Linked DNA regions of Astyanax mexicanus. The protein of the gene in region 3 interacts with the protein of the main gene of each other region in a pairwise test. Links are inferred from orthologs where the notes say so. Each region holds a gene or a part of one and is shown on either strand. Other genes may lie near its edges. The genes, in order: uncharacterized protein LOC103039245, ap3m1, type-1 angiotensin II receptor-associated protein and tbrg4.

What was found.
Region 1: the proteins of type-1 angiotensin II receptor-associated protein (region 3) and uncharacterized protein LOC103039245 interact in binary tests that used the Homo sapiens proteins (3 or more experiments, as listed by UniProt). The two-hybrid records come from large-scale screens. The link is inferred for Astyanax mexicanus from reciprocal best matches to the Homo sapiens genes AGTRAP and PIMREG.
Region 2: the proteins of type-1 angiotensin II receptor-associated protein (region 3) and ap3m1 interact in binary tests that used the Homo sapiens proteins (3 or more experiments, as listed by UniProt). The two-hybrid records come from large-scale screens. The link is inferred for Astyanax mexicanus from reciprocal best matches to the Homo sapiens genes AGTRAP and AP3M1.
Region 4: the proteins of type-1 angiotensin II receptor-associated protein (region 3) and tbrg4 interact in binary tests that used the Homo sapiens proteins (3 or more experiments, as listed by UniProt). The two-hybrid records come from large-scale screens. The link is inferred for Astyanax mexicanus from reciprocal best matches to the Homo sapiens genes AGTRAP and TBRG4.

The regions. Positions count from the first base shown.
Region 1 is NC_064424.1:13,215,574-13,222,467, forward strand, and holds the start of uncharacterized protein LOC103039245, read right to left. Parts: upstream 3,011-6,894; 5' UTR 2,906-3,010; intron 1,460-2,905; 5' UTR 1,428-1,459; coding exon 1,140-1,427; intron 1-1,139. Other genes in the region: tmigd1 (transmembrane and immunoglobulin domain-containing protein 1), read right to left, coding at 4,423-4,512, 4,731-4,834, 5,772-6,056. UniProt on the Homo sapiens protein: During mitosis, may play a role in the control of metaphase-to-anaphase transition.
Region 2 is NC_064414.1:37,935,592-37,943,166, forward strand, and holds the start of ap3m1 (AP-3 complex subunit mu-1), read right to left. Parts: upstream 3,012-7,575; 5' UTR 2,875-3,011; intron 1,619-2,874; 5' UTR 1,611-1,618; coding exon 1,338-1,610; intron 1,133-1,337; coding exon 961-1,132; intron 831-960; coding exon 693-830; intron 531-692; coding exon 445-530; intron 1-444. Other genes in the region: adka (adenosine kinase), read left to right, coding at 4,336-4,397. UniProt on the Homo sapiens protein: Part of the AP-3 complex, an adaptor-related complex which is not clathrin-associated. The complex is associated with the Golgi region as well as more peripheral structures.
Region 3 is NC_064431.1:8,274,782-8,282,550, forward strand, and holds the start of type-1 angiotensin II receptor-associated protein, read left to right. Parts: upstream 1-4,759; 5' UTR 4,760-4,870; coding exon 4,871-4,897; intron 4,898-5,772; coding exon 5,773-5,807; intron 5,808-7,769. UniProt on the Homo sapiens protein: Appears to be a negative regulator of type-1 angiotensin II receptor-mediated signaling by regulating receptor internalization as well as mechanism of receptor desensitization such as phosphorylation.
Region 4 is NC_064408.1:110,806,496-110,813,760, forward strand, and holds the start of tbrg4 (FAST kinase domain-containing protein 4), read right to left. Parts: upstream 3,010-7,265; 5' UTR 2,874-3,009; intron 1,021-2,873; 5' UTR 951-1,020; coding exon 543-950; intron 1-542. Other genes in the region: uncharacterized protein si:dkey-12j5.1, read left to right, coding at 4,928-4,985, 6,179-6,288. UniProt on the Homo sapiens protein: Plays a role in processing of mitochondrial RNA precursors and in stabilization of a subset of mature mitochondrial RNA species, such as MT-CO1, MT-CO2, MT-CYB, MT-CO3, MT-ND3, MT-ND5 and MT-ATP8/6. May play a role in cell cycle progression.

The DNA.
Region 1 (6,894 bases), on a different chromosome or scaffold from region 3:
AATCCAAACGATAGTCAACACATAAATGTTACTTATGACTAATTTCTTAAACTTACATTTGATGTAGTTACTATACTAAAAACACATACCAATGTAAAATGTTAATTGGATATTTAGGGTTGGTATTGGGACAAGTAGGGGTTTAACATGGGCCTCATCTGGGTTGTACACTACACATGGATCCTACACGTAATAAACCTAAAACACATGATGTGAAAAAAACATCTCGGAACCCAGCTCGCCCTGAAACGTACCTAGCCCAGGTTCCACCCAAATGAGTCCCATATGAGTGTATTAGCGGAGTCTTGGGACACTTTTGGAAAACTGGGCCCAACATTTTATAGTAAAAATCACAACTAAACTAAAACTAAAAATATGTCAGCATTGTTGTTTTTGTATTGTTTTTGTAGCCAGGTTCCCTAACTTTATCCTTTTTTTTTGTTTTAAACTTTCTAGGACATGTGGAAATCCTGGAAACACTACATTGCTGCATGTTTCACAAATGTTGTATTGACCATATGTTCACATTAAAAACACTGAACATACACATATATTCCTAGGGTGGGGTAATATGACAATATTTTATCATATTGTAGTGAATTTGTTATAGTAAATGTTATGCTTTTTCTGAGCATATTGTGGATATCACCAGTACTTAAAGAACATAGGTTTAATTTAATTTGTGGTGTATAACTGGATGACAGGACATTTGGTAGAAGAAAAATAAATAAAATAAAAACCATGTTTAAAGAATCTGTCACTACTAGTGCATTTTGCAAATACTGTTAAATTAAAAATGCCCTAAATATTGTGATGCATTTTTCCACTCACCCAAATTTATTGATATAAATGCATAAAGTGAAATCCCATTTCTTTTTAACTGTGCGTGCTTAAACTTCAAGTTGTGGCTACACATTAGGATCTCATTCCCTCACCTAATAACTTGTTGTCACATATGAACTTGATTTTCTGCAGGATGCAACCTTAGGGTTTCTAAATCTAGCAAAACCAACACTAAGCACTAATACGGCCAAGAGAGTTGAGCTCTTTGAATAGATAATAGTTACTTGGTGTAGTGGAACACTGCCAACCCAGGTAAAACAGAGGGCTAAAAGGCAGTTGTTTAAATGGAAGAGTACCTGATAAGCGCTGCCAATGGAGTTCTTGGCGGAGCGTTTGATCTGAGTCACAGCACTGGTCTTCTTGTTCATCTCGAGGGTCTCCCAGGTGGGATTCTCAGGGACATTGGTGTTGGTCTGGACGGTCTTAAGGGGCAGCCTCTTTCGCAGGGACATCCTGAGAGAGTTGAGGGAGCTGGAGGAGCGGAGCTTGCGGAGGTTCTGCTGAGGAGCTTCAGGAGAGCTGTTCGGCTCCGAGTCCGCCAGGACACTATGAGCCCGCCAAAGACCACTTACCACAGCCGCCATACTGAGAGTCTAACAAAGGGAAGGAGGGGAACCTGGGAAAGGAGGGGACCCAGAAAGAGGAACGTTTGTACATGGGTAAACATTTTAATGTCATATGGGTTAGACATAAGTGTTATAGCTATTAGCTAACTAAAATTCGATAATGTTCTTTAACAAGTTAGTTAATTAGCAGTGCTGGCTAAAACATCTGAGGGGTAAGAAAATAGCTAGCTACATATATAACCTAGCAAACTTACTAACCTAAACTTGCTAGCTAGCTAGCTGACCTATCTAGTGTTAGCTAGTTAAACACTTTAGGCAATTTAATTTTGTTATCATCATTGTGATATCTGTATGTAAATATTTGCAACACAAGAAGGCTATTTTAACCCATTAATTCAAAAAATTTGCAGTGCAGTATACCCTTATGCCTGGGAACACCTTATTTGCTGGTAAAATGTAGCTATGTTAACTAACTACATAGAGCCTTGGATTTGTACATTCCTTTTTGTATGTAGGGTATGCAGGGAATTTGTAATAATAATTTCAAAAAAATCACTTTGTTTAAATAATCTGCCACTTCTAATGCATTTTGCAAATACTATTTACATATTGACCATTTATAAATCAGAGCCTGTAAAGTGACATTGGTCAGTCTAACATTTAGCAGTTTAATTTTCCGACTGTTAATTTTCCGAAATTAGAAAATTGGTCACAAAAACTATTTTTTATAATGTAGTTTGTGTAGATTTTTTCAGTTTACAAGTTGGATTATAACATTAGATGTGTTAAAAGACACATAAAATTAAAAAAAAATTGAAGTTTTAATTTTTCTTGGAACTCTGTTTACAAAAGGCTAAAATAAGAAAACTAAATAATGGAAAAATTGAATAAAAAACATAACTTTACTAAATGTAGGTATGTATGTAATTATGTGTTTTATAGCCAATTTAATTGTTTTAAATTTAGCTTAATACAATCAAAAACTTAAACTGCAAAATTTTACTCAAACAAAGATATCAGGAAAGAGTGCACACTATCAGGAAGACTAACGTTAGGTATTCAGAACACTGGTAAAAGAAAATAATGGCTAAATTAGCTTACCTAGCTAATGAAGATTTTGATCTTACCATTATCTCAATGTTTTATTATTTACTCACAAAAATCAATACAATGGTTCTGTATTACACTAGCTAGCTAGCTAACCTTCGTGTGTAATCCTGTGTAGAGTGAAATCAGATAAGTTAGCTAAGTTAGCTAGGTTAGCTTACTAACAAGATTGATACGCATTACACCGGGACCTGTGCTAACTTAGCTAGGTTAGCTGGCATAGAAAAAAAAAACCTAAGTTAGCTAAGGTTAGTAAGATACCCCAGCCTGGATTTGAACGTTATATACTGATCCTCAGCCTTAACCTGTTTCCCTGACAAACATCTTCCTATAAAAGACTCACTGCAGATAAAAACCCAGCTAAAAAAGGATAAAGACCGATATCTTACCGTTGTGTGTTTCTGCAGGGTTTTAGCACCGGACCGACCGCAGCCCTTTCTCTCCGTGTTTCACTGTTTGAATTTGGCGGACCGCCCTTAAACAATATGCAGGAGCACCACAAGCCCCGCCTCCTGATCCTTGTATTGGCCAATTTACCCAACACTCTCTTCAACGATTGGTATATTTCACCTCATATGTCCCTCCCTCCACTTCTGATTGGTCTATTATTCCGTCATGCTGCGATTAAAACCAGACAACAAGCCAAATAGGCCGAATAAAGGTGATGCTCCAATGCTCTGCATTGTTGCATTCATCCCAACAGGCGCTGTATTGTTATGCTAAACGGACTGTTTCCTTTTTTATTCACACAGCCAGTAACTTTGTAACTGCTGAAATTAACAGCTGCAACTAAAATACAAAGAAAATGCACACAATATGAGTAGTAGTACTTGAAAAAACATTAATTCAGTTTTTAAAAAACAAAAAAAATGTGGTGTTTATGAAACAATGTAGTTTTTTTCTCTTTGTATTGAGAAATGCCCCACTAAAAATGCATTTCTAAAACAATACACAAACTTTTTCACCATTTAATAAATAACACTGTTAGATTTAAAATGAACAATTAATATATGTGGTGTTACTAATAGATAGAACTAACAAGTTTTTGAGTATGTTGCTAGCTAACATGTAATATAGAGTATAATAATATATCCATGAGTTTTTTAAATGAGGTATGCATTATTATCCTACAGAGCAATGCAAAATAGTAGTCGAGCTACTCATACCTAGAACAGTTATTCACAATGGTTGATAATACTGCAAGTACAGCAGCAATGGTGGCTGGCGAACAAAACACCACACAAAACATTTGTGTTTTAACAGCAACTTTTAAGGTTTTATTCACTTTGGAGCATTTCTATTAGTCCATACTTCATTTAATTTTGGCATAATGTAAAGTACAACTGCCAGATTCAAAGGATGTCAAAGTGAATTACATAAAAAATGGAGATACAAGATTTTTTTTTTTTTGCCAGACAGTGATTTACAGACATTTACAGTACACATTCAAATTTACAGTGACCCCTTCCTTTAGTTCGTATTGAGGAAAACCTTTCACCTGGCCTTGAGAATTCGTAATTGTTAGAATTTTAATAGGTTTATATTGCCATGACATTGAGATACCAGGCTGTAAACGTGCCAGGTGTGGCAGCGTCTCCTTTTTACTCAGCAGCAGTCAATGTATAACACCTTTTTAACGAGCCTCAGGGAGCAATTGCACAATGTAATTAGCATTTAGATCTGCATTTTACAAGTGTAAAGAAAGGTCTCTACAAAACTTTATGGTTTACTTTATTCAAATACTTCTATCAAATGACAAGTTCCAAAAATGCAGGACTTGATGCAGACAGTAATGGTGTGTTTTTAAATTAATTTTATTTACATGTGTAGAGTTTCATATGAGAAGTTTTGTTTGGAGATTGTTGTTATGCAGTAGCATTCCAGTAGGGCAGGCCTGTGGTTCAGTTCAGCAACAGTACTTTGAATCCCAAAGGTGATGGTCACTAATGGTGGATTCTTTTAAAGCACTGTGGAGGGAAAAGAGACACGTTTTGTTCTGTGAGAGAATGGTAGAATCAGAGAGAAACATATTAAACAGGGCAAATTGGTGTTTTGAATAATGTTTTTTTTTTTTGTAATTTGTAATGTGTTTTGATCATTAAATGCTGCTTCTTACACTGCATCCATTAACTGCATTAATCAATAAAATATGAAATCGGCTCCAGGGTGCCAACACATTTGTACAACACTAGATTTGAGGCCGAAATGTGTTACCTTCATAACCCTCTGCCATCTGGAAATGACAGCTAGCAGCATTGTAAGGAGCACGACCACAATGCCAGCAATTGTGGGCCACAGGGGGAACTTCATTACTTTATCTGTTAGGAGAAACAAGCCAGTATATTGTACTCAGTGAATCTTCAAACTTGCTGCATTTTTTTAAGTCTCCAAAGTTCAATATATATATTAAGCATAAGAATATTTTAGTAGTCTCTACTTTTGAGTTCTCTTGGAATATTTCAGTTGCATTGCATTTGTACACCCCTTGTTTAATACATTGCACTTAAAAAAATAAGCGCCAGAACATTTTTTTTTTAGCAGTGTGTATTTATTCATATTTACTTGTCGTTTTAAATTACATTTGACAGTGAAATATTATCACAATTTAAGTATTTTAGATTAGTATATATTTGTAATTTGCAATTAGTATTCTAAAAGCTTAGTATTCTAAAATCTAAAAGCTTTCAAAATGCATACATTTCACTTATACAGAATTTTGTTATGAAGTCATATTTCTATTCTTGTCATCTTAATATAACAAAGTGCCAAGGGAAAAAGGAAAGTACTAAAAAAATAATGGGCAAAACCTTTTTTTATTCTTTAAGTAAATCGTCTATTGCTTCATTGCTTGCTTAACTTAATCTTGTAATTTGTTTGCTTTGGAGAAATAAAAATGGATAAACTTGTGTTTTTATGAAAACGCAACCACAGTGAGGTTATCCATACAAAGACGTTTGAAAATTAAATTGAATTGCATTGAATTTAATCAAACTTAAAATTAGTACCTATATCTCATGCTTAAACTATTAAAACTGGCCATACAAGGAAACCTCTATATAAAAACAGGAATATGACGTTACCAGTAATTAAACCTACCTATAAAATCAGTGGAGGACACTGGGACATAAAAAAAACACTATAAACTGCGGAGAAATTGGCACACTCTGGTAGCGCTATCATTCCTAGACAGCCTGCTGAGAGAGGGTGAATAGGCAGTTTTGGAAATTATGAGGATTACTTTAAGGACACACGAACCTCCAACGATGAGGATGAAGGTTTTGCTCTTTAGTCCGTAGGTGGGTGAAGTTGCCTCACAGCTGTACTGGCCCTGGTGTGAACTGCGCTTGATGTTGTAGATGGACAGCTTGGCGGTGACGCCATCATTGCTGGTGTGGTAGGTACTGGTGGAAAGATCTAGCACAGCATCATCTTTCTTCCAGATTACAGCTACTGGAGGAAAGGCCTGAACATTACAGGACAGAACAGCATCACTTTCCTCTTCAACATGCATTTCCTCACTGCCGTTCAGATCTGGGGGATCTGAAAGAAAGAGATTTCACAAATAATAGATTTGTCAATGATTAATAAGCATTAGAACAAACTTGTTCAAATAAAAAAGTGTATTTACTAACAGCAGGAGACAGTGGGATACAACCTAACATATGGTTTCTGCTACTACTTGAGCACAGATGGGGTTAACTGTAATGGGGGAGGTGGGGGGGGGGTCATTTTAACAGCTGTCTAACATTCAGTATAATCTGCGTTGTTTATAGTAGAGCTTTCCAAACTGAAAATACAGAAAGGTTTACCAGATTTCTCCAGAAATCAATAACCCAACATGTAATAATGATAATAATGCACTCTGTGTATCAAAGACTAGAATAAAATAAAGGATTTTGGGCAGATATATTCTATATTTGGTACGTATGTCATTATAAATGAGGACAGTGGGGTTTTTCTTTGTATCAATTAAGTTATAGAATGAATGCATAGTTAAATTACAAATACTTTGAAATAACAATGTTAAAACAGTAGTTTAACATGTAGTTTTTGTCTTATTGATTAATTACTGTTTACCCAAAACCTTGTTTTACTGCTATTCATGCAGCGTGGATATTGTGCTTGAATTTAATTTTACAGTAATTTAACTAATAGGTGTTACCTAAACAAACAACTTAATAATAGTAATTATTTTCATATGAATGTAGTTTTTTGTTATATTTAACATGTATGATAACAGAAACAACAGAAATGTATTCACATCTATCAAGTAGTCCAGTGTCAGAATACTGAAGAGTACAGGCCGGTGAACAGAGGATAAGAAACTCATATTGTTCTCCATTTACAGATACAACAGGTACATAAGTAAATTGTTGTG
Region 2 (7,575 bases), on a different chromosome or scaffold from region 3:
CAGTATAAAAATGTGGAAGATAAAGAACATAAATGGCAAATCACAGCTGAAATGTTGGAAATGATGAAGAGTTCTTTACAGATATACACACATTTTATATAGTGTTTGTGTGATTAAGGTGTATTCCATTCTCTTCATGTCCACAAAAAAAATGCCAACTATATCAATAAATAGTTTATCTCTGTAACAATCACTTGTGCAGAGGAAAAAAATTAAAGAGAAAAAAAGATTGGAAATGTTTGAGAGCTATGGAGTTTCTACCCCTGTTCACAGAGTACAGAATGAAGAAATCACAGTGGATACAGAGGCGGGAAAATGTCACTAAATCTAAACACAACCATGCTCACTAATAAGTGGTAATATACAGCAGAATTAGATAAAAGTACAGACATAACATAAATCATATAAGCCTCTCTATGTGTGTATTTATCTACTTGCACTCACCATAAATGATAGTGTGAGATCAGGCATTCCTGAGAGTTTTACACAAGCATCAATCACACCCTGGATTTCTGCAAACACTGTTGTGCCTGAAAACGATGAATGTTCCAAATAAACACTGTGAACTCTTATGAAATGGGATGTCGAAAAAAAGAAGTGAACAATGAAGATCCTTCAACCAAGCTGATCACACACTTCTCTACAAATAATAAATATCATGTGTAAGAAAAACAAGAACAGGTAAGGTTTACCAGACTTATCCAGGATAGCGTCAATCTCTTCCACCACATCAAAATACGCCTCATTGTTAGTGTATTTTACATCTGCTCTCCTCCACGGGATAGTGGACAGCTGTCCAGTAGGAAGAGTGGCCCCAAGATTACTGCTGCCTGGAAAGATCACAGAGGAGTTGAAATATGCAAAACAGCATACGGTACTTTTATTCTTACAAATTGTCAGGCAAGCGACAGAAATGTGAATGCATTTTTGTTATTAAATGTTGTTATAGGAGTCCTCTACCTGTGATAGTGTTGACCATGGAGCGCAGAATTGTGGGAGGTTTAATCATCTCTTTCAGGATGTTGGATTCCGTGGCCAGGGGGAAGCCATTGTCAAGCATTTCTTCAAGTAGTTCATATACTATTACCAGATTGTCCTTAATGGTAACTTCAGAGCATTCCCCAAAATAGTCCTAGTTAAATATAAAAGGTAAAATAAACTGTACATTAGCACCCTACTGTAGAGAATAATTTAGTACTACAAAAATACATTAGTTTAAAAGCTAAAAGGCCAGTTTTCCAGTCCCAGAAAAGATCTGACTTTAAACAGACCCAAAAAAACACTAAAACGTAACTTTTTAAAAAGAGCTAATTTATATGCTAATATAAGAAGAATACCTGAAACATCTCAGCAACTCGATGAAGAAATTCAATGACGAAGAGGGGAGGAACTTCAGTCTGGATGACAGAAACAAAGAAGATTTTCTCCCGGTAGATATTGATTAGGTAGTGATGAGGTGTGCGGATGACAGGAGGTACATTGTCAGGTTCCCCTGCTTTCTCCTGAGCTTCAAAAAAGTAATCGCAGACCGAACGACTTATGACACTCTTCCAGTGTTTTTCCAGGAATATGTCACCAGAGTTGTTTATCAGAAACAAGCTGTGAATCATGTTGAGAGCTGTGAAAAGAAACATAGTGCTGTTTAGATGGATGAAGTGATAAAACCAACTGCAGACTTTAAATTTCGTGCATGTGTCAGAATGCCAACCACAGTAACCACAGTGCTGATACAAGAGCTACTACAAACATGGAGATATCCGATCTGCAAACTGAGTCTTCACCTGCTCATACACACAGTTTTAAGCAAAAAAAAAAAAAACAGAACCAGAACTGAAGAAAGCTGAAAGCTAATCAACAGCAACACAATGCATCTTTTAAACGCATGCGTACTTTTTAGCATGCTCTCTGCAATAAACATTTATATTTACATTTATGGCATTTAGCTGATGCTCTTATCCAGAGAGACTTACACGGTTATTCCTATTACGAGGTGGGCCACTGAGGTGTTAGGAGTCTTGCCCAAGGACTCTTACTGGTGTATCACATTATAGTCACCCAGACCTGGAATTGAACCCCAGTCTCCCACATGGTAGCTCACTGGCAGGCGGTGGTGTTATCCACTGCACCACACCAACCAGTTAGTGACTTAACTGTCACTTTATTACATTCAAAATATTCAAATAAAGTGCAGTTCATTGACAATAATGTCAAGAAACTATATAACCTCCATTTTTTTGTTTAAATGGGCCAAAGTATAAATTCTTTACTGTTAACAGTTTAATGATTTTTTTTTTCGGTTTCACAAACGTAAGAAATATACTTAATTGAACAAGCTTGTGGGTAACTTGGTTGTCAGTTTGCTCTAAAATTTCAGAAACAAACGTAGCTAGCCAGCTTTTAGCTATCTGACACCTAGGTGTTATCCATCTGAAGATCTCTAGATGCTGCAGAATGTGGAATGTGGGCTTCACAGTAACTGAGCTTGCCAGCTAACGAGCTAAGCTAACTTACACAGCTAAGAGTTAGCTAGCTAGCTGTAAACTACTATGTTCCCACTGTCACAGAGAACTTATATCTGTTTAATGGATTTTTTGTTATAAGAGGCTGTCAACACTTTAACTAGCTTGTTAGCTAACGTTAACATTAGCTATAAAACAGACTTAGCCATTTAGCTACCTACACCACTCCAGAGCAAGTGTAGCTAACCAAGCTAGCCAGTAAAAAGTTTAGCGTCTGTTTATTTTGGTGCCTGATTTTAGACATATTTCTCAGCCTCTGGTTCGCTAAATATGACACTACCTAGACAGAACACAGGATATACTGTTAACCAACGCTTTGCACTTGTAAAATACATTTACAAAACAGTAAAAATACCTTTTAGAGAACTGTCTTGATGCTGAGTAAGTTTTCCAGCTGAGAAAAGTCCTCGGTAGCAACCCGGCAGAAAAGTCTCTACAACAGAGAGAGTTCCCACTTCAGAACCTCTTCCGCGTTAGTCAGAGAAAAGAGGGCGCTCTAGAGTGAGTCCAAAATGAATGGGTTCCTATGGAGCATTTGATCAAAATCAGAGTTCATACATTTTTGATAATTTTAAAAATGAAAATACTAAATTCTTTAACATTTTGCTACAGAAGACATCTTTTTTTTTAAAGCTTTTCAACTTAACAAAGGCACCGAGTGGTTCAGCAAGATATGTGCTGCCACTATGATCGGGAGCGATTTGAGTCCTGCTCATGTAGCTTGCCATCGGCTACTGGAGCCCTGAGTGAGCACATTTGGGTTGGGTAATTGGCCGTGTAAATTGGGGAGAAAATCAGGGTAGAAAATTAGAAATAAAATATTTTTAAAAATTAGTACTTATCATGCTAGTACTTATCAGTTAAAACTGTAGCTTGCTAAAAAATAAATGTTTGAACAGAATATAAATTGAATATAAATTGCCTCTGCATGTTTTTAATAATGATTGTGTTGCATTACTTGTATTGTGTTTGTTGGATGCTTGTCTCTTATTCTGTAGTGTTTAAATGTTTGTTTTAATCTAAGATATGTTTTTTTTTTATTTTAGTTTGCCTTATTTAAGAACTGGTCACAGACTACAGATGAAACTCTGCCTCGTGTACATAGTTTATTCTATCTTGTCTAATGAGCACTGTCCCTGCAAATTAAACAAGTTATAAACTGTTTAAACTCCGTGCTCTGTCTGTATCTTCAGCATCATCTCTCAACCTGTCAACTCTAAGCTCACAGTAGCAGTAACGCTAGCGCCTTTACTGCCTAAAAAACGTATGCTGTAGAACATTTGAAATACATAGGCATATTTTATTTGCTTTCAGAGCAAAATACCATTTTGTTCTTCCTAAAACTAAAATAATTTCCAGGACATGTAGTTTGTTAATATTTTTTATTTGAGTTTTTAGCTTTTAGCTCCATTCACCCCAATTAATTGAGGACTCGCTCGCGGGCTCCGTCTAGCGGTTCGCAGCAATTTTCTAACTAGCCCTTAACTTACCAACGTTAGCTTCTGACACCTTCTGTAGAAAATAATGCAAACAAATGTCAAAAAGTGGATTTTAAAACAGATGAAGCAAAACTTTAGGTATGTTTTGTAACAAATAAACTATATTTTGTCAATGGCGTTAAACACTTACGCAATACTTTTTTCCTCAGCTGTTTCTGGTCCGGCAGCAGAAAAGGGCAGCTCTAAACCGGGCTGCAGTGTTTTTTTTTTTTTTTTATCTCCTCCGGCGGTATCTCTATCTCTCATTCCCGCTTGATCCAGCAAGGTGAGGTGTCAGGGACGCGCGCGCAAATCAGTGGACGCACAGGTAAAGCACCATGGCCACAGGAGAGCCCAAAGCAAAGAAAATCAAACTCGAGGAAAAGACTGATCTGATCAGGTGAGCTGAGCACAGGCGTTGGACTGTGCTGTGCGATGGGTATGGGTGTTGTAAGAAGAAGCTCCTCAAGTTAGGGAGTGAGTTTTACTGCAGCGTGGTCTGCACTGTGTGCACTTTAAGCTCGGGTTAAATGACACATGACAATTACGTTACACATAGCTGGGATATCTGGATTTAATCCTGATTAAATTATGTAATTTAGGTAAATCCCTCATTGCCATTGTGCTCTGCTACTGAGATCTCTCTGTGTTCCTCTGCTGTGCAGCTGCTGCAGTTCTGTTTTGCAACAAATTTTTGTTTGAGAAACAATCGCAACCATTTAGCATTGATTAGCTAACTACCAAGTTAAGTTTATTTATGCCATGAGGTTCATGCTGGGGTCTTGTTTGCTGGCCGTGGGAAATGTTAGTAAGTTTAGCTAGCTAAGTTACTGGGTAGCGAGCGTTACAAGCTAAAAACAAAGTCAAAAATAAGTTTTAAAAAAGTATAAAGTAGTAATAGAGGATTGTTTTGTTATATTTTAGACAATGTAGATACAATAAAGTTGACTAACTAAGAAGTTAAGCTAGCTAACCTACTTGCTAAATTGGGGGTTTGGCGGATGCACGCGCTCACACGTGCACATGTGGTCTTTGGGTATGCTCGCTGTTCAGTCCAGAGGTGGGAGCCGGTGGAATTCCCGCCCCACGTGGCTTTTGTTATGTAGTTAGCTACGTTAGCTAACTAGCTACAGCTCTTGAAAAAAAATTAGGAGACCACTTCAGTTTCTGAATCAGTTTCTCTGATATATGTTTGAGTGAAATAAATATTGTTTTTATTCTATAAACTACGGACACCATTTCTTCCAAATTCCAATTAAAAATATTGTCATTTCTAGCATTTATTTGCAGAAAATAAGAGAAATGGCTGAAATAACAAAAAATATGCAGAGTTTTCAGACCTCAAATAATGCAAAAAAAAGTTCATATTTATACATTTTTAAGAGTTCCAAAATCAATGTTTGGTGGAATATTTTAATCACAATTTTTATGCATCTTGGCATGTTCTCCTCCACCAGTCTTACACACTGCTTTTTTTGTCGAACTTTACGCCACTCCTGGTGCAACAATACAAGCAGTTCAGCTTGGTTTGATGGCTTGTGATCATCCAGCTTCCTCCTGATTATATTCCAGAGGTTTTCAATTTGGTAAAATCAAAGAAAATCATAATTTGTAAGTGGTCTCTCATACAGAGCTGTATCTTAGGTAGCTTAGCTAACAGCTCAGAGAAGTCCTCTGACCACTTTGCCTTCAGTTTCAGGCCAGGGGGCTCTAACACACACATAAAGAAAGAAAGAAATAAAGAGATAGAGAGGCAGCTCCAAACGAAAGTGGGATAAGGGTTCATAAGGCCAGTGTCACAAAATAAATTCTGTGTGAGAGGTGACACGCTTACAAGCTGCTTTGGCAGCCAGTCCCCTAACCAGACAGCATGTAGCTAGCTCTCTATAGAGCTGCAGTCATTTCAGCCACAGACAGTTAAGTTAGGAAACTATATACATAGGATTGCTTACCTATAAACTATAGATAATAGTTTGTGTAACTCTCCTCTCATTCAATTAATTAAATTTGATTATTTTCGTTATACCAGTATAGGAATGTAGAGTTATATAGTACTATATAGTGGGTGTAAAATAAAAATACTGGAGAAACACAAAGACAAGGTGTTGTTAAGTTTGGATTCAATGGTATGGTTACAAACATTGTATATATTGTTATATATACAATGTTTGTAATTATTATTCTTTACTTTACATTAAGTATGTAGTTAAATCTTGATGAACTGAACTAAACTGAGCTTAAAAAGGACTGTAGACAAGGTATTGTTAGGTTAATTCAACTTGTAATCAAATCTATGGTGTATATATGCATTGTTTGACCGACTAATTATTTTTTAGTTACATGACATATTTATATTATCTTGTTTAAATTTTATTTATAAAGCTTCTAACGTGTTTTTGTGGTGTAGAAAGCAATGTTTAAAAATATTATTATTATTATTATTATTATTATTATTATTATTATTATTATTATTTAAAGGAAGCACGTCACCTAAATCTATTAATGAACATAGATTTAATGTTATAATTTTACGCTAACTAATGTCTATTACTTAGTATAAATAATAAAGTCTTAGTATAAATAATAAAATAAAGGTTGTTTTTCCATCATAACCATGAAAAGGTCTAAAGCAAACAAAAAATTAATGTTCATCCAATGTCCTTTGCGGTTAGTGCTAAATAAGTATTAAGTAACTTGCGTGTTTCAAATGGTTCATTGTGGTTAATTAAGTGTAGGTTATTTTAGATGTAAGCATCATTGTAAATGAAGCAGCTAACTTCGTTCCACCAGCGTGTAAAAACACTGCTAATAAGCCTAAATCTGTTTCTTGTGCACACACTGACAGCAGCAGCACTGACAGCAGCAGCACGAGACTTGGCTTATTATTATTTTTTTTTCCTGGCCCAAAATGCAGCCCCCTGTCAGAGCACTGCCTCTTTTTTTCTTCTCCCCCAATCATCTGCTCCCCTCCCTTAGTCCCTTAGCCAATCAGCTGAAAGCAGGAGAGAAACTCCTGACTTTGAGCGCTGTTGATACAGTGCACTGCTGCTGGCTAAATCTGCTCTATATTTAAAACTCCTCTGGATCTCAGTTAAGAGTCTCCAGCATCATCTCCAGCTAGAAGCATGGCCAGGTAAGGGTAGCTTTTTGCATTGGGAGAACCTTGTGGGTGATGATCTAATGAGATGTAGACTCTTTTTCTTTTATTTCTTGTTACTGAAATGTTTATGATTATGTTGATGATCACTGATAGTAGGATAATTTATGGTGAGATTCTGAGAATCCTGAATATGCCATGTATATTCTTGATACAATTTTACAACAAATACTGTATCTGTAATTATTTTGATTGTAAGGTTTTTGTGCATTTTGTCTGTTTTAGCATTTCAGCAGGAGATGACCATGCTTGTTCTTTTTCACCTCCATATCATATCCATACTGAACATCTGTTTCAGAAGCTGCCTTACCTCTGAAACTCCCACGTAGATACATCTGCTCTAATTCAAAAGTTTCCCAGGAGTCTGCTTTTCTCTTTTAGCCTTAATTGTACATGCTTTTATTTTATTTAGAAGTTGTTT
Region 3 (7,769 bases):
CTATAGGGAAGTATATTGTACAGGCTTATGTAAAGGATTACTGTATTATAGGGGAGTATAGGGATCAGAGTGTATGATATGGACTGTATGATAGAATGGGCAGGAAAAGGTAGTATAGGGTAGTATTGGATAGTATAAGGTTCTATAGGCTAGTGTAAATGAAAAGTGCAGTATAGGTGAGTGTAGGGAGTAGAACGTAGTAAAAGGAATTATAGTGAGTATGGGGAGTAGTAGGGCATAGCATATGGAAATTTTAGATGGTATAAGGAAGGATAGGGAATGTAGGGTAGTATGGTGTAATGTAGATAAATAAGTAGTATTATATTAAGTATAGGGGAGTACATGAGAGTAAAAGATACTAGAGTGAGTGTATGGTAGTATGGAAAGGAAAGGTTAGTATAGATAGTATAAGGTATATAATGAGAATGGGGAGTAGAGTGTAGTATAGGGATGTTTTACATAATATAAGGTAGTATAGGGAGTGTAGGGTAATAAAGGGTAGAAAATGGGAGTATAGGGAAGTGCAGGATAGTACATGGAGTTCAGGGTAGTATGGGGTTTATATTATGGTGAGTAGAGAGTAGTATATGGACGTTTTGGAGAGTATAGTGTAGTATAGGTAGTGCAGGTAAGTATGGGATAATATAGAACAGTGAGTATTAAGAATATTGAGTATAGGGTAGCATATAGATTACATGAGAGTAACAGAGTAAGATAATAGAGTGAGTGTAGGGTAGTAAAAAGAGTAAAGGGAAGAATAGAAAGTATAGGGTAGTATACAGAGTACAGGGCAGTATAACGGATTATAGTGAATTATAAAAAAAATAGGGTAGTATAGGGAAGAATACTACATGGTTCAGAGCTCAACTAATGTCAGACCCCAAACATTGTCTGATTTAATATATTTGCGCAAAATAGAAACAAATGGTAGATTAGATTTTTTGCTAAACACAATAACACTGTTTAGCCAAGGGAGACAGAGATGGAGGTCAAAGGTCACACCTGCCACCGAACACGAGTGAGTAGGCAGGTCCCATCTGCCAGACGCGTGGCACACAACAAAGACGTCCATCCCCACAGGGTGTGAGAGCACCCCCCAAAACCGGCCTTCTGTCTCAACTCTCGTCTAATTCATCCAATCACAGCTCATAACTGACTTACAGCTAACGAGCTGTCGCCACACACACAATACACAGCGCAGCTGGCTAATTCAACACACCCGCATCCGTCTATCACACTCATAATTGAGTTTTTTATAAATGTAGGCTGGTAGATGGTCTCCTGGCTCTGGGATTTTGTGCTTCAGGGGGCTTTATCAAATCAATGATTTAAATGTTGCCTGATTTTAATGTTTAGATGACAGTAGATCATGAAAATTTGTCTTGATTTGCTTTCGCTTTGATAAGTCTGTGTAGACCTTTTCTCTCCTGTGTGCTCAAACCTTTTTAATAACACGGCCCAAATACAATACATGAAAGAAATTGAATTGTCATGGTTGATATTTCACACAGGACAACTCATTTCTGTTCCGGGGATCCCATGATGGAATATAAAATGTCACGATATAATGTAATTCAGTAGACTCATAACCAGGGATTTAAGCACAAATACAGACTCCCCACCAATAAAGCTGAGCGCAGACATACAGGCTGAAACTCACCCGCCTCAGGGACTCCACACAGGTATTTAAACCCAGATTTACTCTCAGTGCACCAGCAGAATGCACAAATGAAGAAAATGAATCACTGTAACTGAAGGGAAAGAATGTTAAGAAGAACAAGGTGGATAGATATATTGATCTATCTAGCTTTTCCAGTCCCTGTAGAGAAGTGTTATATAATGCGAGGTATTGAGCTGTGGAGCGGTCGAACTGTGTTCTCTGGAACTCCACCCAATACTTTTGGAATGAGGTGGGGAAGACCAAAGCTATCATAGGTATTGAAATTAATGACCCAGGTATAAGTATAGATAAGAGAGTATAGATATTAGAGTTTAAAATACTTCTGTAGAAGTTGAAGTGTCAACTCAAGCTTTTTAATCCAGTAAGAGTGTCTAAGTATTGGTTTCAGAATTACTTAAAAATATGAAAGTAAATGTAATGGCCCTTGTTGGTTTCTTGCATTATTTATTTGCATAATAGTCATATCCTCCACTCCTTACTCACTATCAGTGTGTAGTCTTGTCAACCAAGGCTGCCTTTCCTTTAGTACTCAGCTAATAGTTATTTCTATTTAGTCAGTCAGTTAATTACTAACTTTTATTCCAGGGAGTTTAGCTTGTGTTTTTTGTCTTTTAGTATAAGATAGAATCACCCTGCTTCCCTTCTGCCAGTCAAAATCAATAACACTTTGCAGTAAAGAAAACGGTAACTTGCTTTTATGCCCTACAACCAGTAATGTTAAACTCAGATTTGAACTAAATCAATTTATTTGAAAAACACAGTGTTTCGATATACTGCTTTGAAGTCTGTATCAAAACAAATAAATTCAAATCAGCTTTCATTACATCACAAAGTTTCAAAACATATATAATAAATAAATATATAATAAAGCTGACTACTCAGCGTAGCCCCAGTGGACAAGACTACACACTGATGGATTGAACTGATTTTGTGACGCCATCTTTACTGAATACTGTGGTACTGTGACAGTACCACACCCACAGAGCACACTAGCACACAAGCTTTTCATGAATTCATTAATTTATTGAATTGTGTAATACATTGTGTTGAAATAATAATGCATCCCAGCACTCACATAACAGTAGAGCATATACAATCACTTATTACAGCTGATGTCCATAAATTTTGGGATTGAGGGCCCTCTCTGTTGAGAATGGGTAATTGCACCAAAAACGAACTGGCACATTGAATCTAGATTAATGTACCTTGAGCTCTTCATCGGTGGTTGACAGGCACGTGTGTTTATTGCGTGTAACGTCACCAAAATACCACATTTAAAGTATAGTTACTGTGGGCCATGCAGTGAAAGTAGTAGAGACAAACATACATTTAATATAATCTTTTAAGAATTTAAAGGTCCCTTTCCGCTAAAATCCACTTTTTCTTGTTCTTTGTGAAATACAGTAGGTCTCTCTGAGTTGTATATTGATGCTGCACATGAAACTGTTCCTCAACCATTGCCTGCAGTAGCTAGTAAATGTTCAGAAAAACGAGTCGAGCAGTAAAAGCACAGTCTCTACCTTAATCTGTGAATTAATATTCATGGCCTTGCCCATCATGGAGCTAACAGGACTAGAAACAGCATAGCAGTTTGTTCCTGTATTATTTGTGTAAATAATATATTAGTGTTATATGCTTTTCCCCAGTAATTCAGAGGTTATTCAAACAGTTAGAATTTGTCTGTAGAATACCACCAGCACAGTACAACTGAGATAGGTAGGTGTGTGTTTACACTAGTTAAAAGTAAAAAGTGCACCCAGGAGTTTGTTCTGAATGCCTGGGCGGCTCTGCTGCAACTCAGCTGATTTTTTTTCTTTCTGGACCTGGATTACCCACCTCCATGTGTTTACATATGATCTCTGGTGGATTTTGTGTTTTACAGAGACTATGAGTCTAAGTCAGTGGCTTACTTGACTTAGCAGGGCATTACACATGTTGTAAAGTAACATATGACATTGCAAATACTGTCATTAGTGTAAAAATGTCTTTATTTTAAAATGTTTCTATCTGTTGTCCATCTCGCTGCAGTCATAGTGCTGTTAGCCAATCAGAGACGATATGTTTGCATGTATGAATATTAATGAGCAAAAGCAGAAATCCTCGTTTCTCCCACTCCACTCCTCCACGGGACTAAAGCACAGTTATGCCGAATCACCAGAGCACAAAAACCAGCACACATGGCATTCATTCATACTAGAGACCACAACTAGACATTTTAAAGTTAATTTAAAAATTATGGAATAAGACTTTTAAAGCAATAAAATTGAAACAGACACAAAGTAGGGAAATATGCTCGCCCAGATAATATGGGTAAGGATAACAGAGACTCTATTATAGATATTATTTTATTTACAGACTTCATTGCGCTCAGATAGATAGATAGTAGGGGTGGGCGATATGGCTCTAAAATAACAGTACGATATTTCAGGGTATTTTTTCGATAACGATATACTTGGCAATATAGGAAAACAGAAAAAATAATTCATTAACTTCAGGAATATAGTATAATAGTATAACAGTATAATCATAATGTGGCAAAATAAATAATATAGCCTAAAATAATATAATGCAGCAAAAAATATTGCAGAATATTTTCATGCATATAAACTGAAAACAAAAACTAAACTAAACTAAAACAATTATATAATACATACACCTAAATCTTCACAGTAAATAATGGACTACTTTTAAGACAGAACATCTCTATTATCACGATATGGATTTTTAATATCATGATATTTCTGTGTTACGATAAATTGTATACAATATAATATTGCCCACCCCTAATAGATAGATAGATAGATAGATAGATAGATAGATAGATAGACAGACAGACAGACAGACAGACAGACAGACAGACAGACAGACAGACAGACAGACAGACAGATAGATAGATAGATAGATAGATAGATAGATAGATAGATAGATAGATAGATAGATAGATAGATAGATAGATATTATCTGATTTGATCAGTGGAATGTGTTATTAGGCAGGCTGTGAGATGCTGTATAAGACCTCAGTGCTCTCTGGCGTTTATTTAGGAAGGAATCAGGGTCACGTGGTGGAGTCATGCTGCAGTCACATGGCTGAGTCCGGCAGTGCAGCAGCAGCAGCAGCACAGTGCTGGACTTCACTAACTTTTCCCCCAGTCTCAATCTGAAGTGCTGAGGACAATCACAGCTCACAATATGGAAATCCCGGCCATAAACCTCAAGGTAAACATTAGCCTGTGTTTAGATTTGCTGGCTGAAGCATTAAAGAGTCAGCTTTTATTAGTTTATTAATTCTATCAGCAGATTCTGCTCATCAGGTGTTTCTATTAGAACCATTATCTCCATCCTTTTATCTGCTGTGTTTTATCTGATTTAATCATGTTATACAGGCAGAATGTGTTATTTTATGATGTTCTAGATGTGTAACAGGCTTTATGGTTGCACGTGAACGTCTTTGAACTGGATTAGTGAATTTGTGTGTGTGTGTGTGTGTGTGTGTGTGTGTGTGTGTGTGTGTGTGTGTGTGTGTGTGTGTGAGTGTGAATCAGTGTTTGCTTGTATTGCTATTTCTGAAAGCACCAAATATCTTCACAATGAAAAGATATGAAAAAGTGAATTAAAGGTTTTGGATATTGTGAGTAGGTTAAAGCGTTAGGTTTACGATGCTATTGCATTACTTGTTTACAGTATATTGTAAAACACATATTAGTGTATTTTATTATACGTTTAACTTTCAATGAAAGTATTTTTTAAAATTAATATAACTTATTATTTTATGCCTTTGTCCTTCCTGGCAAGCTGTAGTGGACAGTAACAGACCAGACATTTTTAACAAATTAAATGTTGATGGAAACTTGATTGACCTAGATTTGCAAGTTGTAGAATTTTTCTTTGTAAGCTTGATCTGTTTTGATTTACTCAAAATATTTTATTACTGTTATATTTCACCACAATAGAATAGGTTAACCATTCCACTGTATGTGTTATAATATAGTGTGTTTATTATTAATATGTAGGTTACCATTGTACTGTATATTTTATAATATAATGTGTTTATTATACATGTGTGTGTGTGTGTGTGTGTGTGTGTGTTGTAGGCCATCGTGCTGGTCCACTGGTTGCTGACTATCTGGTGAGTAAAGTGGCTCCTTGGTGTTTTTCCTCACGTACCTGAGGAATTTCCCCAGCTGCTCCGTCTGTTTGTGAGAGGTTGGGATTTTCAGGGCTTTATTTGGGATAAATGTCTGGATTGAAAAAGGCTTTCACTTTCCTCACGGCTGATCTTGTCTAAATAGTCAATCCCACTGATTTTAATCAAATGAGGCAATACAAATAGAGCCGCAAGGTGAATAAAGCAGGGAGAAACAACTACATTGCAATGCAATATAAAAAAAATACAGAATTTTTTTTTACCAATTTTTAATTTTGTGCTGAAAAGTGAAATCTTCCAAATAAATATGTATACAAGTAATATAACATTTATTGTGTTGGGAATGTTTTTTTCAAACACTTTATACAACTAAGTGAAGCTAAGCAACATGACTATTTAAATGTATCATGATAAATTTACTTGTCAGATCTTTTTAAGCATGTAGAGCATATAATTAGTGTTTAAATTACTATGACCCAACTGTACATTTCATTATAGAGAGTGTTCAAAATCCTGTTTAATTGGTAAATGTGCAGCAACTATCACTGTGCTGTGCATAAAATAGTTGAATTCTGTTTTTTTAAGAATCTGCCGCTGTTGATGCATTTTGTGAGTGTCAAACTTTTGTGATAAATATTGTTTATTGTGTTACTTACACCATGGATGCAGGCTTTTATACTGTATATATCAATACGGGAATTATATCAACATAAATAAATAAGTGCTTTTATCTGGGGTGCTGTTAACTTGCGGTTTCAGAGGCTGGTAATTTTGATGGACTTACAACAGAGGTAACTCTTACACTTCCTTTCCTGGGGTGGTCCTAATAAGTGGAATGTTTTGGAATGACTGACCTTTATTTCTTAAAGTATATATTTTTTACTTAGTTGAGTAGTTATTGCCTTCGAGTAGAACATTACTCAAATATGCCTATTCACTGTATACCAACTCTACCTCTTCAGAACTTAAAATTCAAGTAATTAAGGCTTGGTGAGTTCAGCACAGCTGTTAACTGAATGCCTGAATTCCAGGTGACTCTACCTCATGAATCTGACTAAGAAAATCAAGCCAGGATGTGCGAAAATGTCATCTAAGCGAGAGATGCTACTTTAAAGAATCTAACAATTTAAATGATGAAAAACTACTGAATTTATGGTGTGTCCAAACTTTTGGCTGGTACTGTATATTGCTTGATAATTAGCATATAAATAGCATTTTTTTTTCATTTAAAACCCAAAAAAATAAACATTTCTTGATACTCTCTGATCCAGATCTACTGGGTTGGATTGATACACCCCTATTAGAGGCATTAAACTCTGATGATTCCCAATGACTGGGGTGAATAGATTCATTGTGCATATCAAACTAACTGAGTGTAGCTCTCCAGCCAAAAGTATCCAAAGGACAGTGCATATTAGAAACTGCTGACTGCTGATGAAGAGCTACAACTGATAAAGTCAAAAACACACACCAAGATTCTGAGCAAATGCGTCTCAGATCCGCCAGTGAGCATTATTTCCGCATGACTGAAATACCTCTTAGTTTAAAAGCATTCAGACATGAATTTAGCTCCTTATTAACAGACTCTGAATTCCTGCAAAACTTGATATTCAATTATTTATCACATGTAAATGCTTAGAGGTGTGATCTAATTAGAAACTGGGCCTCTTAAGCCACAAGAGGATGTAAGAGTGTCTCCCACTGACCTTTTAAAAAGGCTTTCAGAGGTTACTTTTGGGCAGTATACCTTTTGGTGAGAGATCACTGATTAATAGACATGCCTGTACAATGCACTCAAATGCACAGTCCCACCTTTGCTGTGGAGTGATACACCACCCCAACTGCTGATAAACTACTGTGATGATCTAGATTGGATTGCATTGCAGACGACAGTCAGTCACCCCTAGTAGTGATACAAGGGACTTCCAAATGCCATTATTCAAG
Region 4 (7,265 bases), on a different chromosome or scaffold from region 3:
CTGCATTCCGCAATACGCTTAGGAAAAAAAAATCTATTGTTTAAGCACAAGTAATGTTGCTTTTTTGTAAAGTGCCACCAAGATGCAAATTGTCTGTTTGTTCCAACAAAATCTCATGATTACAGTATGAGAATGAGATAACTCATGTTGGCCTGTTAAATAAATACGCTGAATATAAATAATTAACACTTTCTTCTTATTATTTTTTTTTGTTACAATATTAAAAAAGGTAATGTTTTGGTATCTGTATTAATACAATACCAAGCCCTACTACTATATGCATGACAGCTTTTAAAGGCCCAGAACTCTTCAGATGTCAGGAACGGAGAACTTTCAAATAATTTTTTTTGCATCTTACAAACGGAGCAGGAGAGCAACCAAACTGTATGTACTGATTAGCTCTTGAGGTCCAGAACAGATGACCCATGACCCACAAACTGTCCACATGGGTCTCTAAGCAGGCAAGAGAAAGATATGTAATTACAAGCTGGGGGTTATAAATGTCTGGAAATCCCGTAAAGCAGACGTACACACATTATTACCTGAGAATGCACAGCCTTCAGCATTTCTGCAAACCGAGGGTCATTCAAAATACTGCTGTCACTTTTCACTCCTGTCCCTAAAGACAGTTTGTAAATCTGGACCAGACACGTGGCTGCCTGATTGGTCGAGCCGCCCAGATTTTTCCAGAGATTCAGCACTTCCTTTGGAGTGGCAGCCTTATCAATACGAAGATGGAAGTTTGTTTGTTGGGAAGTGGTTTTTGTTTTCTCTTCCTGGGCATTTTCTCTGCTCATGTAAAAAGGTCTGACAGGGGTCTGAATCCAGGCCTGGGACCACAGTGGCTCCACAGGCAGGGCAGCAAGTGCTTTCAGGTGGGCAGTAGATGCAGAAGGTTGGGGACATCTGGACAACAGGAGAGCCCATCGGCTCAGAAGCCTGGCCGTCATTTCGGGGGGCTTTTGAACTTGACAGCGTATTCACAACTCACCAACCTGCATCCACACGTTCATTAAAATCCTAAGATGAGAAAGAAAGAGAGAAAGAGAGAAAGAGAGAGAGAGCATTGATTAGAGTGCTTAACAGGTTTTAGGTACATGAAGCAACAAATAAAACTGGTTTGCTAATAGTGTGGAGTGTATGTTTCCCAGTCTTTCAGCCTCTCTTTTTTCTGCTACCCAACTCAGACCAGCTACATGCCTCAGACTATTCACCCACTCTGCACATTGCACATTACTAACTACATTAGAGCTCAGATGGACTTATTGCTACTTATACACATTTTATCATAATCTTTAACCATCATTAATTTCCTAATTCTTAGCATAACTAACTACTGTGACAATATTAGCACTAGGCCTGGATTATATAGCAAACATCACCAATATGTCACCAAGCCTGCTCTAGAGCCCTGCGATACATTAGCTACAGCTCTTACCCAAGCTATACCCCCTATCACTAACATTGTAAGCCTGTTGGGAGAATCGGCTAAAAGCGCTGTATTTTGCAGTGCTGGAGGTGAACGGAGATGGGTTACTCGACCAAAGTTTTTACTCACGTTAATTATGTTTTACTACACCCCGAGTCCCGTTCACATTATATCTTTATTTTTTTTTTGTACATTTTATTTAGTTTGCTTTTCTTTGTTTGAACATAAAACACAACTAATTCAATACTAAAAAATAGAAAACAAAAATAAATATGTAAATAAACAGACAAAAAAAAACAAAAAAGATTAAGACCGTTTCGAAATGGACATACAGAATAATATCCTTATAGATTTAGTATAAATACAATTATTAAAAAGAATCGGCCAAACTATATATATCATTTTATAGTAAGACAGCACAACACAATGTTTCAGCATTCTCTTCACAGTGTACACGAGCGCAGTAGTCACAGCTCAGGACAACGACATACAACCAGATTACAGATGGTTTCTACCCATGTTGAATATCTGATCTCCAGCAAAATATTATGTTAAATCCTGTATTTTTCATATAGCAATATGCAGCCCTGGAGACCACTTAAAATTGCTGAGTTTCTCTGGAACATAATCAAGAGAAAGATGGATGATCATAAGCCATTAAACCAAACTGAACTGCTTGAATTTTTGCACCCAGAGTTAGCTTTAAAGTTATCCAAAAGCAGTGTGTAAGACTGGTGGAAGAGAACATGCCAAAATGCATAAAAACCTGTGATTAAAAACCAGGGTTAATCCACAAAATATTGATTTCTGAACTCTTGAAACTTAATTAATATACCGTTTATATCTCTGTAGTTTTAGAAATACAACTTGCTTCATCTGAGACAATGACATATTACTGTCGGATAAAAACATTAACATTCACAAAACATTTTCTCCAAAGGTCATGAACTTCAAAATGAAAGTAATTTGGCAGCATTTATTTTGCAATCTGTAGCAATAATGTAAGTTAGTATCTCACATTGACATCAGGATATTCAATAACATGCTTTTATTTGATTTTTTGCCAAATTGGTCACCCCTAGTTTTCTTGCATATGTTCATGTGGGTGATTTTAGTTTGAGTGTGGGTGGTACATGTTTTAAAATTTAGGGCATCAGTAAATTAGACAATTAGGCAAGCTAGTTCAGCAAGCTTTAAAGGGTTTTATGATTTTCCATAAGAAAGCCGTTAGATAACACTTAGCTAAAGGCATTGTTCTGTAATAAGCTCACCTTTAATAGAAGATTAAAGTAAAATCTTAATATGTTTCATTCAGCAGGCACTGACCTTGCCGGCTATGGAGGCGCCACACAGACTTCACTGCTCACTACATAACACAGCCAGCCTCCTCAAACACCCTACTGCTAACCCGCGCACAACATTTTAATACAGACCACCGCCTTACCTCTTCAGATCCACGAGTTTATACACAGATTATCCCAGAACTCAAACACACTCTCACATTCACGCACATCCCGGCGACTTTCACATGGAGCAGCCCGCAAGGGTCGCGCGAGTATTCACGTCACACATGATGCAGTGTAAAGGTTAGTGAGACGTCACTACTTCTGCGACACGTTTTGTAATAGGCATAAATCTATATGTATAGGATTTAAATACCTTTTACAACAAATATTATATACGTGTTTTAAAAAATAGATTGTGTACAGACACGATACAACTATTGACTACACAAAACAAATATCTTTTTTATTTTAAACAAAATAAAATAAAAAACATTACGAAATTAGAGACTTTTATTTTGACGCCAAGTTAAGCGTTGACGTTAATTAAAGCGTTAACTAAAAAAATATTGAATCTATAATAGAAAGAACAATCTTAAATAAAAACAGAAACAGCAACAAAGAACAGCAAAAAATATTATAAACCTGTATTAAAAACAAAAAAATATTATTAGCTTGTATTAAAAAAAAAACATTATAAACTTGTATAAAAAACAAACAAAAAAGATAGTAAAAGCCTGTAATGAAATAGATTTTAAACGGACATTATTTATTATTCACTGCACAAAACAAATAGATTTTCTTTTAAACAGAATAATAAAACATTAAGAAATGAGAGACTTTAATTTTGACGACAAGTTAAGCGTTTATGCTTAATGATTTAATATCTTTTCAATTTTTTTATTGAAGTTTTAATAAACAACCACCTTTAAAAAAACAGCAACAGAGAACGGCAAAAAACAAAAACGAAAAACAAACAAACAAAAAAAAACAAACAAAAATATTAAAATCCTGTATTAAAATGGATTTTAAACAGACAATAAAATAAAATTAAAAACATTACAAAATTAGAGATTTTTATTTTGACGACAAATTATCTTTCTGAATTTCTGAATGCAAAAAATAAATAAAATAAATTTATTATATTGTTTAAATATGTCAGCTGTGCTCTTTCATTCTTTAAGAAATAATATCATTAAAAATTAGTTACCAAAGTTAGGTACCAAATAATAAGAAAGTAAAAAAACGTTGTATTTGTCGTATAAAATCGAATTATTTTTGTGTAAGGTTGTGTGTACATATTATATTTGGTGCAGCATGACATAATTGATAACACTTTGTACTATTAATATTATAATATTATAACCAGCACTGCTTACTGTACGAATAGCACTGCTCCCAGTAAATTTCCCTGATATGGGGCTATGGAAAAAAATAATTGATTTACCAAATTTTATTGTAGTAACTTTTAGACATGTAGTTTTCATGTTCCTCCTCATGTTTCTTAAATATTGCTCTTAAATTCAGTTTGCATGCATACATTTGTTTGGTTTGTATTCAATAAAAGTGCGGTTTGACCTAATGACCATGAGAAAATGAGGCTCCCGGGACAAGACCAGTTGAGAACCCCTGTGTTATAGTCTGATATTAATTGCTCTGCAATATAAATTGCAATTTGAGAAAAAAAATAATAATAATATCATATTTTGCTGCAAATCAATTATTTATTTATCTCATGATACTGTGCATCAACGATTGGAATAACATAGTATTTTTTGCCTTATATGCATTTTAACATGAGTTTTTAATGGCTCCACCTGGTGTTTAGTCTGTTGTAATGCAGATATTATAATGACTATAAAAGCTGGTGTCTACTTTGTCTTTTAGCTAGTTCTGTTCTGTTTGATCATCTTCAGACCCCAGGCAACACCTCCAACACACACTTTATTACTTTCTTTATTAATTTATCTTCATGTTAATTTATGTAATAGAAAAGGATCTTTTGTAGAGCTCCAACCTGTAGGGGGAGCAGCACGCGTGGCTCGTGAGGGAGAAGCAGAAGAAGAAGAAGGGGCTGTTGCCCATGCTTGCTTACATCCACACTCACACTCTTCAGTCACAACAACTCTCTCTCTTAGACAAGCAGGAATAAACCTGACACAGATATATACCCGGGTGATTATCCACTCCAGTCCAGTGGAGCTACAGTATTAGAATGGGGGGACAAGCTAAAAAGAAGAGCAAGGCTAAGAGGAAAGAGAACCGTGGAGGAGGTAAGTTACTGTCTGATACTGACTGATTGATAAACACACCTGCACTCAGATACAGCTCAGCTACTGAGATTACACTGCTTTAATATAGCCTACATTATAAATATTCACACAGCTTACAGCTGCAGAAAAAAAAAACACTTCTTCCATATAGTTCTGTTGCTTTGGGCAAAGTTTCTTGTGTCACTTAATTGTTGGTCTTGGATGGTCTAAGCTCTTCTGTGTTGGTTAAAAAGCTGTTCATCTAGGTGAAATCATACCCTGTGCTGTTGTGCACCCTAATAACAGTTATTTGCCAGCATAGAGGGGTCATGTTGATCATACTGCCCAACCAGCTTGGTCATGTTGTTCAGCCAGTTTGGTCATGTAGCTTATGCTGGTCATGATCAATCATCTTGGTCATGTTTGTCATATTGGGTTTGGTCATATTGGTTATATTGAGGTTGATTATGTTGTTTTTATTGGGTTTGGTCATATTGGTCATATTAAGCTTGGTCAAGTTGGTCATGTTGGGCTTGGTAATGTTGAGCTTGGTCAAGTTGTTTATATTGGGTTTGGTCATATTGAGCTTGGTCAATTTAGTCATATCGGGTTTTGTCATATTGTTCATATTAAGCCTGGTCAAGTTGGTCATATTGGGTTTGGTCATATTAAGCCTGGTCAAGTTGGTCATATTGGTAAAATTAAGCTTGGTCGTGTTGGGCTTGGTTGTTTTGGTCATGCTGGTCAACAAGCTTGGTCATGTTGGTCAACCTGCTTGGTCAAGTTGTTTATGTTGGGCTTGGTTGTTTTGGTCATGCTGGTCAACAAGCTTTGTCATGTTGGTCAACCTGCTTGGTCATGTTGGGCTTGGTCATGTTAGGCTTGGTCATGTTGGTCAACCAGTTTGGTCATGTTGTCCTTGCTGATTAACCAGCTTGGTTTATGTTGATCAACCAGCTTGGTTTATGTTAATCAGCTAGCTAGGTCATTTTGATCATCCAACTTGGTTCATTATAGTCCTTCTGATCAAACCCAACTCAAATAAAGGCATGGCCTATGCTGGTTAATAGCTGAACCTTTTGTCCACCTTGACCCGCTTGAGCTGATTGTGCTGAGTTGTTTTAGCAGTGTTTGATTGGCTGAACATTTTGGTTACTGAGGTGTTTTTTAATTATTTATATGATTAGGTCTGAAAGGTTTCATTTTTGTTTCAGCTTCAGGTCACACACTAATGTCACCCCAGGAGAGGATGAAGGCCAAGATGCAGGAGAAAGCCAAGAAGAAAACTGCTGAGAAGTACACTGTTGACCAGTTACTGGAGAAGGTATGCATCTTAATTTCAGGTATTATTTAATTCTATAGTACTTTAGCCACATAGTATAAAATAGATGGGTCCAGGTCACAGACACTAGATGCCACAGTGGACAAACCATTTATTGACTGACTGTATACTTTACCACCAAGACAGAGGCCAACTTAGTATAGCATCTGCCGTACAACACGGCTTCACTCAAAGTAATGCAGGAATGCTGATCAGATTGAAAGAACTGACTTAACTGAACTGATTAACTATAAACTTTGTAGAGGTGTTGTTTCCAGTTTTCCCAGAAGTGGAGGTCTAAACACCTAATCACTGTTCACAAGGGGAGAAGGTGGCAGGGAAAGCTCCCTAATAATAGCAATACATTTGTCAACATTACAGCTGGATTTATGTAACCAGGTTCACAATTCAGTGTGATTTCATTCCTACACCCCTGCTCTCTCAGTGTCACTAAGTGAAACCAAGAATATAGTCTACCTTAAAGTTGTTTGGTGCAGGCCATGATATGTGATTAATTCAGTTTAGTGGAAAAATGGGTAATATCCTGGTTATATAAATTCTGCATCCCAAACCACGTGCTACTGTACTTTGAATACTACACCAATAAATGCCATTTTTACATATTATTGATTAGGGGTGGACGATATGGCCCTAAAATAATTTCATCTTGGCGATATGACAAAACACTGAATAAAAAAATATATATATATTTTTTGAGAATGCGCTACTGCAACGATATGATACGGCACATCCCTAACTAAGATATTAAAAAATACAAGAATTTTATCAGATTTGTAACAGAAGTCAATGATTCAGAATTTCATGATACTAATAATGCACTCCATATATCTTCATATATCCAGGATTAAAGTAAAATAAATTATACTGGACAGATATAATCTGATATAATAAGTAGATATATAATGGTATATAAATTAAAACTGTATGAATTTTTCTTTTGCTAAAAACAGTAAGAAAAG